Linked DNA regions of Saccharomyces cerevisiae S288C. The protein of the gene in region 1 interacts with the protein of each later gene in a biochemical or structural test. Each region holds a gene or a part of one and is shown on either strand. Other genes may lie near its edges. The genes, in order: NSI1, NET1 and FOB1.

What was found.
Region 2: the proteins of NSI1 (region 1) and NET1 form a complex in vitro, tested with the Saccharomyces cerevisiae proteins (one study listed by BioGRID).
Region 3: the proteins of NSI1 (region 1) and FOB1 form a complex in vitro, tested with the Saccharomyces cerevisiae proteins (one study listed by BioGRID).

Annotation. Positions count from the first base shown.
Region 1 is NC_001136.10:492,654-496,410, reverse strand, and holds the start of NSI1 (Nsi1p), read left to right. Parts: upstream 1-2,142; coding exon 2,143-3,757. Other genes in the region: VPS54 (Vps54p), read left to right, coding at 1-1,762. UniProt on the Saccharomyces cerevisiae protein: DNA-binding protein that recognizes sequence-specific replication termini (Ter sites) within rDNA. Binds to rDNA terminator elements and mediates efficient RNA polymerase I transcription termination.
Region 2 is NC_001142.9:293,646-297,402, forward strand, and holds the start of NET1 (Net1p), read left to right. Parts: upstream 1-1,599; coding exon 1,600-3,757. Other genes in the region: PRY3 (Pry3p), read right to left, coding at 1-336; YJL077W-B (uncharacterized protein), read left to right, coding at 402-500; ICS3 (Ics3p), read right to left, coding at 1,021-1,416; YJL077W-A (uncharacterized protein), read left to right, coding at 1,154-1,240. UniProt on the Saccharomyces cerevisiae protein: Has a role in chromosome maintenance and is involved in mitotic exit. Inhibits the action of CDC14 by sequestering it in the nucleolus. Also binds to RNA polymerase I and stimulates rRNA synthesis.
Region 3 is NC_001136.10:674,571-678,327, forward strand, and holds FOB1 (replication fork barrier binding protein FOB1), read left to right. Parts: upstream 1-1,531; coding exon 1,532-3,232; downstream 3,233-3,757. Other genes in the region: YDR109C (putative phosphotransferase), read right to left, coding at 1-1,097; alanine transaminase ALT2, read right to left, coding at 3,671-3,757.

The DNA.
Region 1 (3,757 bases):
TAAGGAGCTAGCACAGAATATCAAGACCATTGACGCAGAGAATATAAGAAAAAAAATTTCACATTTAGAAATGATTTTTAAGAGGAAGAATGTAGAGAAACTAGAACAGGGATTATTACAGGCGAAGTTAGTGCTGAACAAAACAGATGAGTGTAAGTCAATGTATGAGGAGAACAAGTTGGATAACTGCTTAGAGCTGATAAAATCCATCGATTATCTGATTAAGGGGGATGATTCAATAAACGAAGATGTTCAGAGTTGGACTAGGTGTTGGCCCTATAAATTAAGCAATTTGAGGACGATACCTGCTTTGTCAGCAACGAGAGAGTTTTTAACCAATATGAAGATTGAAATAGGAGGAAAGTTCAGCCTACAATTATCGATTTTACTAATAGATGATTTAAGATCCTTTTGCAAATCAATCAAACCAAAGGAAACACTACATAGGATACAAACGGGATCTAATGATAAAAAGCAAACTATATTTACTGATAATTTTTCTTCAAAGATAACCGAATTAATAGTCAGATTGAATAGATGCGAAGAATTAACGAGTGCCTTTGACCTATACAGGGAAAAATCTATCACTGAGCTTAAATCTATCATAAAAATTTATTTGCCAACAGAGAATGCACACGCTGACAATAACCACGATGAAAAACATCTTAACAATGGCTCTACTAGTGGGTCTAAACTTTCAAGATTAATAAAGGAGCAAACTCCTGCAGAATTTCAGTCCATGCTAGTAAACATATTCACGCACGCGCTCGAAGCTCTTCGAAGACTTTATGGGCATCAAAAGTTGCTTCTAGATATCTCTCTTAACGAGCTAGCATCTGTTAAAAGTCCAAACGAAAACCAGCACAACATGATTACGCAATTGGATATACGTACTGGCATCAACGAAATAATCAGAATTATTCAGTTACGTACAGGCAAGATCATTGCCGTAAGAAGAGAATTGAACTTATCTCTACGGTATGATTATTTCTTGAAATTTTATGCTATATGCGTTATTTTTATTCAAGAATGTGAAGTATTAAGTGGTGAATTTTTAACGAAATATTTAAGTAATGTTTTAGCATCTCAGATCAAGCATTATGCAAACGCACAAAGTTCAAAAAATTACCGCAACATAAAGAAAAAGATTGATGCTGAAGAATGGATTCCATATATTGTGGACTCCTCTATTCAGAGCGATGTTAACGACATTGTGTCAAGTATAGACATAGACCCATTGAGTTGGACAACTATTTTAGACATGGTAGGGGGTTCTCATGATTGCGAAAATGGCAGAAGCGAGGACAAGGAAAAAGATGAAGGAAATGAAACATATCAAGGTCATAGGAAATCGGTTGTTGTTGGCGATAAAACTTTTGTGGCCAGTAGTTCTCTGCTCGCTACCATTGAGGTTATTAAGGAGCTAATGGTTCTTTCCATAAACCTTCCCTCGATATACTTATCAAATTTCGAGAAGTTGTGCTATGACGCACTACAATACTACAACAGTAGCGCCATGGCATCTGTCACACAACCTGGAAACTCACTTTTAAAAACGGGTAGAAACTTATCTATCATGGGAGAGTCATTGGACTGTCTCGCAGAATTTGTGATTATTGTTCAGAGATTTTATCAAAGGCTTTCCAACTCTAACAGGGATTTTGAGCCATTCGATGCGAGTCATTATACAACCCTGTTGGGGCAATTCCAGGCCTCATCGAATAAAATATACATGGCCAATGCCCCACCTCCGCCTGTATAAACATGATAAAGAAAAATTAGATTTCAAGCTATGTACCATTATTTACTTTTTAAACTAATGAATCATCGATGTTATATTCTCTAAGAAATTCCGCTTTTTTTTTAGAACATTATCTACGTATTATTTTTCCAAACATGAGCGGTGAAGAAATGATCAAACAATGAAGATCGAGCGAGGTCAGAGCTTTCCAAATGCGATAGGAAAGGACTTTTTCCAGCAGCTATGAAAATGTACTTCAAGTATCTCGTCAGTTGCTTTACAACTCATCTCCTGTAATTTCCAACATAGCATCGTTCACGACACAGTTGGCGCTGAACAAATTTTGTGCATAGAGCAAGCAGCCGTTTCTTGTCTGCGTCAAGAAGAAAGATAAAGGTAGAATGGACAGCGTGTCAAACCTTAAGAGCACAAATTTTCAGAACAATAATGACCCAAAAGAATCTGTAGAAGAAGCAGTGCTAAGGTATGTGGGAGTCGACTTGAAGAATCATATTAAAAAGACAAAGAAGAAATTGAAGAAACAGAAGAAGAGAAAGCATGGTTCAAAAATGTCTCATGAAGATGAAGACACTGATATGGATTGGTATTTGAAAACATCGGGTTCAAAAGATTTACGTAAAGTGGATGATATCGAACCAAATTCTGTTGCTGTAGCAGCTGTTGCTGCCGCATACAACAGCTCAATGAGAGAAAAAGATAAGAGGAGCTGTCATAAAAAATCTTCTAATAGTAGATCAGAGAGGAAGAAGCACCGTAAAAGAAAAAGCTCTAAAGAAAGAAAAGCCAAAATAAAAATGGTCCTAGATCCGCAGCTGACTACACTGGACGATGGCATAACGACAACAGCATTTTTACCTGATGATCTCATTGCTGAAACAGCTTTTGATAAGTATGTTGATACTGAAAAGGCATACCTAGCTAAACATCCAAGTAAATCGTTAGAAGTTAATGAGGATGATAAAGAAAACAACTTTAATAACAATAGCAGCACGCTGGTTAGAATTTATACCGATTTAGAGGGGATACCAAATGACGGCAGCTACATAAAGCGCACTCCAAAGATACCAGAAAAGGATGTGAAATCAGACGACTTGATATTGGCACCAGAAGAAAACAATGGAGATACCGCATTACTGCGATCCGATATTGTGAAAGCGTCAGTAATTGACGGTGCTATCACAAAATCCATCGGTAAGAAGTTCACTCCCAGCGAGGAAAATGCTTTGGACCAATTCATCGAAGAATACATGAAAATAAGAGGCTTGGATAGACGCCAAATGTGCGAGAGAATTTGGTCTACAGACGGAGTCATTAGAGATGGGTTTTGGGCAAATATCAGCAAAGTTTTACCTTATAGAACAAGGTCCTCAATATATAAACATATAAGAAGAAAATATCATATTTTCGAACAGCGTGGGAAGTGGACGCCAGAGGAAGATCAAGAATTGGCAAGATTATGTTTAGAAAAAGAGGGTCATTGGACCGAAGTAGGCAAATTGTTAGGCAGAATGCCTGAAGATTGTAGGGACCGTTGGAGAAACTATATGAAGTGTGGTTCAAAGCGAGGTTCTAAAAGATGGTCGAAAGAAGAAGAAGAATTGTTGACTACTGTAGTAAATGAAATGATTGAAGAGGCACACCAATATCAAAGGATGAAGGCATTGGAGGCTGCCAACAAAAATGATAGATACAATCAAATGTATTCTAGGGGTCCAAAGGGAAAGAGAATTAGCGATAATCCTACCTTCAAAGATATGATCAATTGGACTGTCGTCAGTGAACGCATGAGCGGAACTAGATCCCGTATACAGTGCCGCTATAAGTGGAATAAATTAGTAACAGATGAAGCAGCCAGAAGTATGTTGAGCATTCCTGTTTCTGAAAGGAAGTGGCTGCTAGAACGATTGAAACAGCTACCTAAAACGTCCTATTCAAATATCGACTGGAACAGTATAGCTACCTACAAGCCCGGATATCCTCGAACTGGTCTTGAAC
Region 2 (3,757 bases), on another chromosome or scaffold:
ACCCGTGGATTCAGAAAATCCGGGATTTGAATAATTATACTTGCTTATCTCCCCGTACCAGGCGTCCACCGCTCCCGTGTCTGTGTAACCAAGGGCAAGGTTCTCACCATATGGGCCATCGGAATGCGTTAAGACACCCGAACAATCATATTGGTCGGCGTAGTTCTGCGCATAGGTGGCCAGAGTGTCGGACCAGGTGAGCGGCGCTGTGTCAACATGTAGCGCTCTGAACTTGTTATGCTCGTTCAGCACATCGCTCTCGAAGTTTGGAAACGTGGTTTGTGCCTTGACGGCTACTAGGCATCCTAGCAGAACTGATATTGGAAACTCCAGCATAAGCGTTTTCGTTTTAAGTTGTTTTAAGTTGTTTGGAGTTGCAGGGGTGCAGCAATTATAATTTTATGCCGATATTGGTTTGGCAACTACCGAAAAGCAAGAAGCTAAAAACTTTGAAGTATAGAATATGTTTTAGAGAATTCTTCGACCGAGTTGAAACATGAGAACTGTTTCATCGGCCCTATATAGCAATTACATCCTTCCGTTGCTGGGTCCCTGCCTAGATACCATATTTGTTGTTGAATTAACCGCGGGAACCCGCAATATACGAAAGACGAACACAAGAGAGCAAGCACACACAGCTAGTGCGTAGCGTTGCTAGCTATATTGCCATGGTACCTACCTTTCACCTCCTTGTTAAATCCATAAGTGGACGGTTTTCCTAAACCAGTATTTATCAGTTCTCGAGCACGCAGAGAAAAGTAAACGAAGCGACCTGCATTGCGGTAACTATAAACACCCAGCCGCCTCCAGCAGAACCAGCCATGTGCGAAGAAAAACAATTTTTCGGCCAAACTTACCAACAATAGCGACGCGTTCCTCACATCGTTGGGTTTTTTTCGCCTCTCTTCAAGTTTCCTATACCCGAGCTTAACACAACACAACGGACCCTCTTAATTAGAGGTATCCTCCGTTCTTTTCTTCCGCTTTCCTAATCGAGATACCAGAGCACGGAACAGGACCCTAGTGCATCGGAGAGGAGATCCGTGGCACGCTCACTGCGCCTTTCACTATCACCGATTTCGTAATTCGAACAGGAGTATTTCGCTGCAGGGGAATTACTGTTTGTAGACGAGGGAAAGCAATTATCAGATACATGCCAGGGATAGCGTTCAAGGGGAAAGACATGGTTAAGGCAATACAGTTTTTAGAAATAGTCGTTCCTTGCCACTGTACGACCTGAACTTTACTCAACGAAAAAAAAATTGGAAAAAAAATAGTGCATAACGTTGCTATTAACAGATGTAGTACTGATATGTCCCTGATTGGTGAAGAGTCAGAATGATATAAGCCTATTTGATATGTACGTGTACGTATTCGAAAATAAGATTTGTTTCTCGTAGGGAGCGATATGTGCATTATGTTACCCGTTCCACATGTTTTGAACTTTTTTTCTTTTTCATGGTAAGCGTCAATAATCAATTTGAATAACTAGTGAAGAGTAGCTAGCACGATGAAATAAGTGCCGGAGCTGATCGAATCCCTAGTCTCGGTTCGCCTGAAACAGAGAGAAGTCGATTACTGTACACCGTGCCTCCTTCTATGTACAAGCTACAAGTGGTCTTGGTGCCTCCGAGTCTTCAGGCGACGATGCCAATACAGTTTGGCTACGGACCAACCATCGCCGAATCTTCTCAATTGTTGCCAAACAGAACTAATATGGCGCAAAGCGCCGGAGATGCCTCTTTGCAGTATGCTAATCTGAGATCTGCCAATGTGAGTTTCACGCCAAGCTATTTCAACCAGTCTAGGTTTAGGAAGTTTCTTTTGTTTACCAAGCCGACAAACACGCTGTTGAACTTGAGTGATGAAATCATCGATAAGTGTGAAAAAATGTACCCGAGTTTGCAAGAAGACATTGAAATTTTGAGTTTGCAAGATAACAGCGGTTGTGACCTTGATCCGGATTTTTTGGTAAAGGACGTTTTCAATGTAAATAATATCGTAAGAGTTATATTGAAGAATGAGATAGATCTGGACGATTCCGCACCAGTGTCACTTTATAAGTCGGTAAAACGATCCAAGTTGAACAACGGGTCGCCCCAGTCGGTGCAGCCGCAACAACAAATCCCGTCCTCTTCAGGTGTTCTTCGGATTGCCAAGAAGAGGCCACCTACAGGAACCACGACAACAACAACCATTCGTAGTGCCACTAATGGATCCATGAGGGTTTCTACCCCATTGGCTAGGCAAATTTATCCTCCACCTTCTTCGAAGATCGTCTCCAACAACTCAGATGACGAAGACGAAGACATTGGTGAAAGATCCTTTTTGCCGCCTCCAACGCAGCCTCAGTCACCTCCCATAAGAATTAGTTCGGGCATTGACGCAGGTAAAAAAATAAAATCAAGCATCGTCGAGGAAGATATCGTGTCCAGATCAGCAACCGTGGATCCAGATAAAACAAAGCAGCAACGTCTATTGTCCGGAACTCCTATAATGTCCACCATGACTCCAAACAGAGTTACTCTTACCGGTCAGAGAGTGGTTTCTGAACACGCACATAAAAACGAATTGGTTTTCTCTGCTTCAGCTTCTTCCTCTTCATTTGCTAATGGTGGCACAGCTGCTGTCACTGCTCAGGACATTAATAGGAAACCACCCGTAACCACTCCAAGAATAACATCAGGAATGTTGAAAATCCCCGAGCCAAGAATCTCAGAGATTGAAAAAGAGTTAAAAGAGGGACCTTCCAGTCCGGCCTCCATTTTACCCGCTAAAGCTGCAAAGATTCCAATGAAAAAACCTTACTTGGAAAATGGCGAGAACTACGAATCCGACGATAGCTCAAGTAGCGAAAACCAAGAAACTCCTGAAACAGAACCACATTCAAAGGCTTCCTTGCAACGTAGTCAAAGCTCCATCGCAGATAATAATGGCTCTCCGGTGAAAAATAGTCCTCTCGGTGATGCCATGCCACACAATGTGCATTTAGCAGAACTTCCCAAGGCAAGCAATACCTCGATCACCAAATCTTCAAATGGCGAATCCTGGGGAAAGCAACAAGAACATCAACCACCAAGAAAGAGTTCACTGGAAACTATAGTGGAAAAGAAATCTCAGGCGGAACCTTCCGGTATTGTGGAACCGAAAAGAATGACTAATTTCCTAGATGATAATCAGGTAAGAGAAAAAGAAGATACGAATGATAAACTTTTAGAAAAGGAAATTTTGCCGACAATTCCACATAATGATCAGCCAATACTTGCATCATCTGATAAGTCTAATGGGACGTTGAAATCACTAGCTGGGAAAGTTAGTTCAAACAACAACGCTTCAAAGGAAGATGGCACTATCATTAACGGCACCATTGAGGACGATGGCAATGATAATGATGAAGTTGATACTACGGTTCGTATTGTTCCTCAAGATTCAGATTCCTCTAGTTTCCCAAAGTCAGATCTTTTCAAAATGATCGAAGGTGATGATACAGATCTACCGCAATGGTTTAAGGGCAAAAATTCGAGAACTTCCGGTAATTCCAAAAATTCAAAGCCTTACACAACGGTTTTGAATAAAGACATAGACAATTCTAAGCCAGATCCAAGAAATATTTTGCCCCAGCGAACCCCAAGAAGTGCGGCTAAGAGGGCTGCCCAATTATTGGCAGGTGCCAAGAAAAACGAAGTCCCACAGAAAAGTACTGAAGATTCTAGTTCGGCAGCGTCCACAGACGATGAGTCAGAGAGTGGGATTGAAA
Region 3 (3,757 bases), 180 kb from region 1:
TAAGGCCCCCAAACGCCATGGACAAATATAGGGTTTTTTGATAACAAAATATGACACGTAGACGTACCGGCAACAGCTGCCAATCTGCCAATTGCACCATTGAAATCCTTTTTATAATTTTCGGTCTCGGCAAGACCTTTTACTGCTGATTCCGGCTTGGCGGCTACCGTCCCTACCCAGCCTGCATATGCATCAATAATTCCTGAACTTACTACACAATGCTCTGTCAAGCCTAATTGACAGGCAGCCTTTTTATCTAACGGGCTGATACATTCACCTGCGGTCAGAAAGTTTTTTTTTTCCCTTAACGATCCACCCAGTCTTTCAAAATCATTCTTCGTAAGCTCTGAAAGCCCAATTGAATTTAAGAATTCTTTGGACCAGCCTATATCGGAACCTTCGACACCCACTGGTAGAAATCCCTGCTTACAAACAGCAGAACAAAATGACCTATTCTCTTTTCCCGTGGCTTTGAAAGTCAAGTAATCCGGAAGGTCAAAAAACTTACAATCCTGAAAAATTCCAGCTTCTAAGTTGTTCTTCAACCACTTAATCTTCGGAATTTCCATTTCAACAGACATTTGCCCTCCCACATATTTTAAACATTTATCACCAGATGAGTTGATTTCTTCAGTCTCCTTCATCGCCCTATGGTCCATCCATAATATGATATTCTGGTCATTATTGGTAAAATCCGGTCCAACTGCAATTTCTTCAAAATTGGTAGCGGATACGACTACTAAGGAACAAGTCGCATCAAAACCAATTCCACGAACTCTTTCAGGGTCAACTCCTGATTCTTCAACAACAGTTCTAACACAATAGCAAACTGCATTCCAGATTTCTCTTGAAGACTGAGTAATAAAATTGGATATCAATTGTTCCCTTTTTATGGGTTTTTCTGCTAGCGACAACATGTTACCAGATTGATCGATAACACATGCCCTTGCAGAGCCTGTTCCGACATCTACACCAACGTAGAATTTTGCTTCTGGATCTTGTGGAGAAATGCGAGAAATCGAGGTTTCCTGTGACGACAATACCGCTGGCTCCCGTGTTTCATTTTGCATATTGTTTTGGCGTTTCCTGCTTTTCATATAGCCTTAATAATGTACTTTGCAGATGTTTGTTCCTTCGTCTCTTTACATCTTTTCATTGTACTCAGCGGTCTGGGTGTGCAGCTTTCCACATTTACTAATACTGGTCTGTAGCATTTAGTCAAACGGGTGTTATAAAGGTTCAATTTCTTCATCATACCTAACATTGTGATCGAGGTTTCCAGGAAGAGCTTATATATATCAAAACAAGAAACCCAGAGTATCTTTACCCCCACATTCAATATGAGGTGTCAGCCATAATTATTTACATGATAATACTGATATTTTTTCTTTTTCGCGATATATTGAAAAGAAAAAAAAATTGCGAGGTGATTCCTCATCGCATGTATTCATTTTAACGACATTGAATTAAGCCTTCAGGGGGGAGAACAATTTAACGATTGTGTGAGTGTGAATTTGTGCTGAGGATAACAATGACGAAACCGCGTTACAATGACGTGTTGTTTGATGATGATGACTCGGTACCATCAGAATCAGTTACGAGGAAATCGCAGAGAAGAAAGGCAACGTCACCTGGGGAATCAAGAGAGTCCTCAAAAGATCGTCTACTGATACTTCCCTCTATGGGGGAATCATATACTGAGTACGTAGACTCTTATTTGAACTTAGAATTATTGGAAAGGGGAGAAAGAGAAACACCAATCTTTCTTGAATCTCTGACAAGACAACTAACGCAGAAAATATATGAACTAATAAAAACAAAATCTTTAACTGCAGATACCTTGCAACAAATAAGTGATAAATACGATGGTGTAGTGGCAGAAAACAAGCTGTTATTTTTGCAAAGACAGTATTATGTTGATGATGAAGGAAATGTTAGAGATGGCCGAAATAATGATAAAATATACTGTGAGCCAAAGCATGTATACGACATGGTGATGGCAACACACTTGATGAATAAGCATCTTAGGGGTAAAACATTACATTCCTTTTTATTTTCTCATTTTGCCAATATTAGTCATGCCATCATCGATTGGGTCCAGCAATTTTGTTCAAAATGTAATAAAAAGGGCAAAATTAAACCATTGAAGGAATATAAACGTCCTGACATGTACGATAAACTACTACCAATGGAAAGGATACATATTGAGGTATTCGAACCCTTCAATGGAGAAGCTATTGAGGGAAAATATTCTTATGTCCTTTTATGCCGAGACTATCGCTCTAGTTTTATGTGGTTATTACCACTTAAGAGTACCAAATTCAAACATCTTATCCCAGTTGTTTCCTCACTTTTTTTAACATTTGCTAGGGTTCCAATTTTCGTAACATCAAGCACTTTAGATAAAGATGATCTTTATGATATTTGTGAAGAAATTGCATCAAAATACGGTCTCCGTATTGGCTTGGGTTTGAAGAGTTCTGCGAGATTTCATACTGGGGGTATACTGTGCATTCAGTATGCTCTAAATAGTTATAAGAAGGAATGTCTAGCCGATTGGGGTAAGTGCCTAAGATATGGCCCTTACAGATTCAACCGAAGGAGAAATAAGAGAACGAAACGTAAACCTGTGCAAGTACTACTTAGTGAAGTTCCAGGTCACAATGCCAAGTTTGAGACTAAGAGAGAAAGGGTTATAGAAAACACATATTCCCGTAATATGTTCAAGATGGCAGGTGGAAAAGGTCTTATATATTTGGAAGATGTCAATACTTTTGCCCTTGCTAATGAAGCGGATAATAGCTGTAACAATAATGGAATTCTTCATAATAACAATATAGGAAATGATAACTTTGAAGAAGAAGTGCAAAAACAATTTGATCTAACTGAAAAAAACTATATCGATGAGTATGATGATTTGGCACATGATTCTTCAGAGGGCGAATTTGAACCTAATACCTTAACTCCCGAAGAAAAGCCTCCTCATAATGTCGATGAGGACCGAATAGAGTCCACCGGCGTGGCAGCCCCAATGCAGGGAACAGAAGAGCCTGAAAAAGGGGATCAAAAAGAAAGTGACGGTGCATCACAAGTAGATCAAAGTGTCGAAATAACTAGACCAGAAACTTCCTACTATCAAACTCTGGAATCGCCGTCAACAAAACGACAGAAATTAGACCAACAGGGTAATGGAGATCAAACAAGAGACTTTGGCACATCAATGGAATTGTAATAATATGTAGGATAGAATGAAAGGAGGAGTCACCATAGGTGAAAAAAAAAAGCACCTATTGCATATAAAGTATTCAAAAAGGTGTTGAAAGCTCTTCCTGTATATGACCCTGTATTTAATGTACGCGGTTAAAAAATTTTTATATTTTTAAATAAGTATCAACTTGGATAATATGATCTTGCCCGCAAGGTGGTTTTATATGAATAATTACTTTTTTTTTTTTTTTTTTTTTTTTTTTTTTTTTTTAATTGAACAATAGATGCAGAGGAATGCTCCAAAATTTATTTCCTTGAACAATATTACAAGAGGCAGATATATACTTTTCCTTATTTCCCTTAGTAAAGAATGATGCATGTATACTATTACAAATTTAAACTTCACCCCCACCATGGATGCAAAACAAATAGAAAGCCATTATCATTAGTTTTTTTTTTTCATTCAATTACGATACTTGCTGAAGAAATCTTGATGAAATTCTTTCCAGTCTTGAATCCATTTAGTCCCTGGAGCCAAAAACGTTGTTCG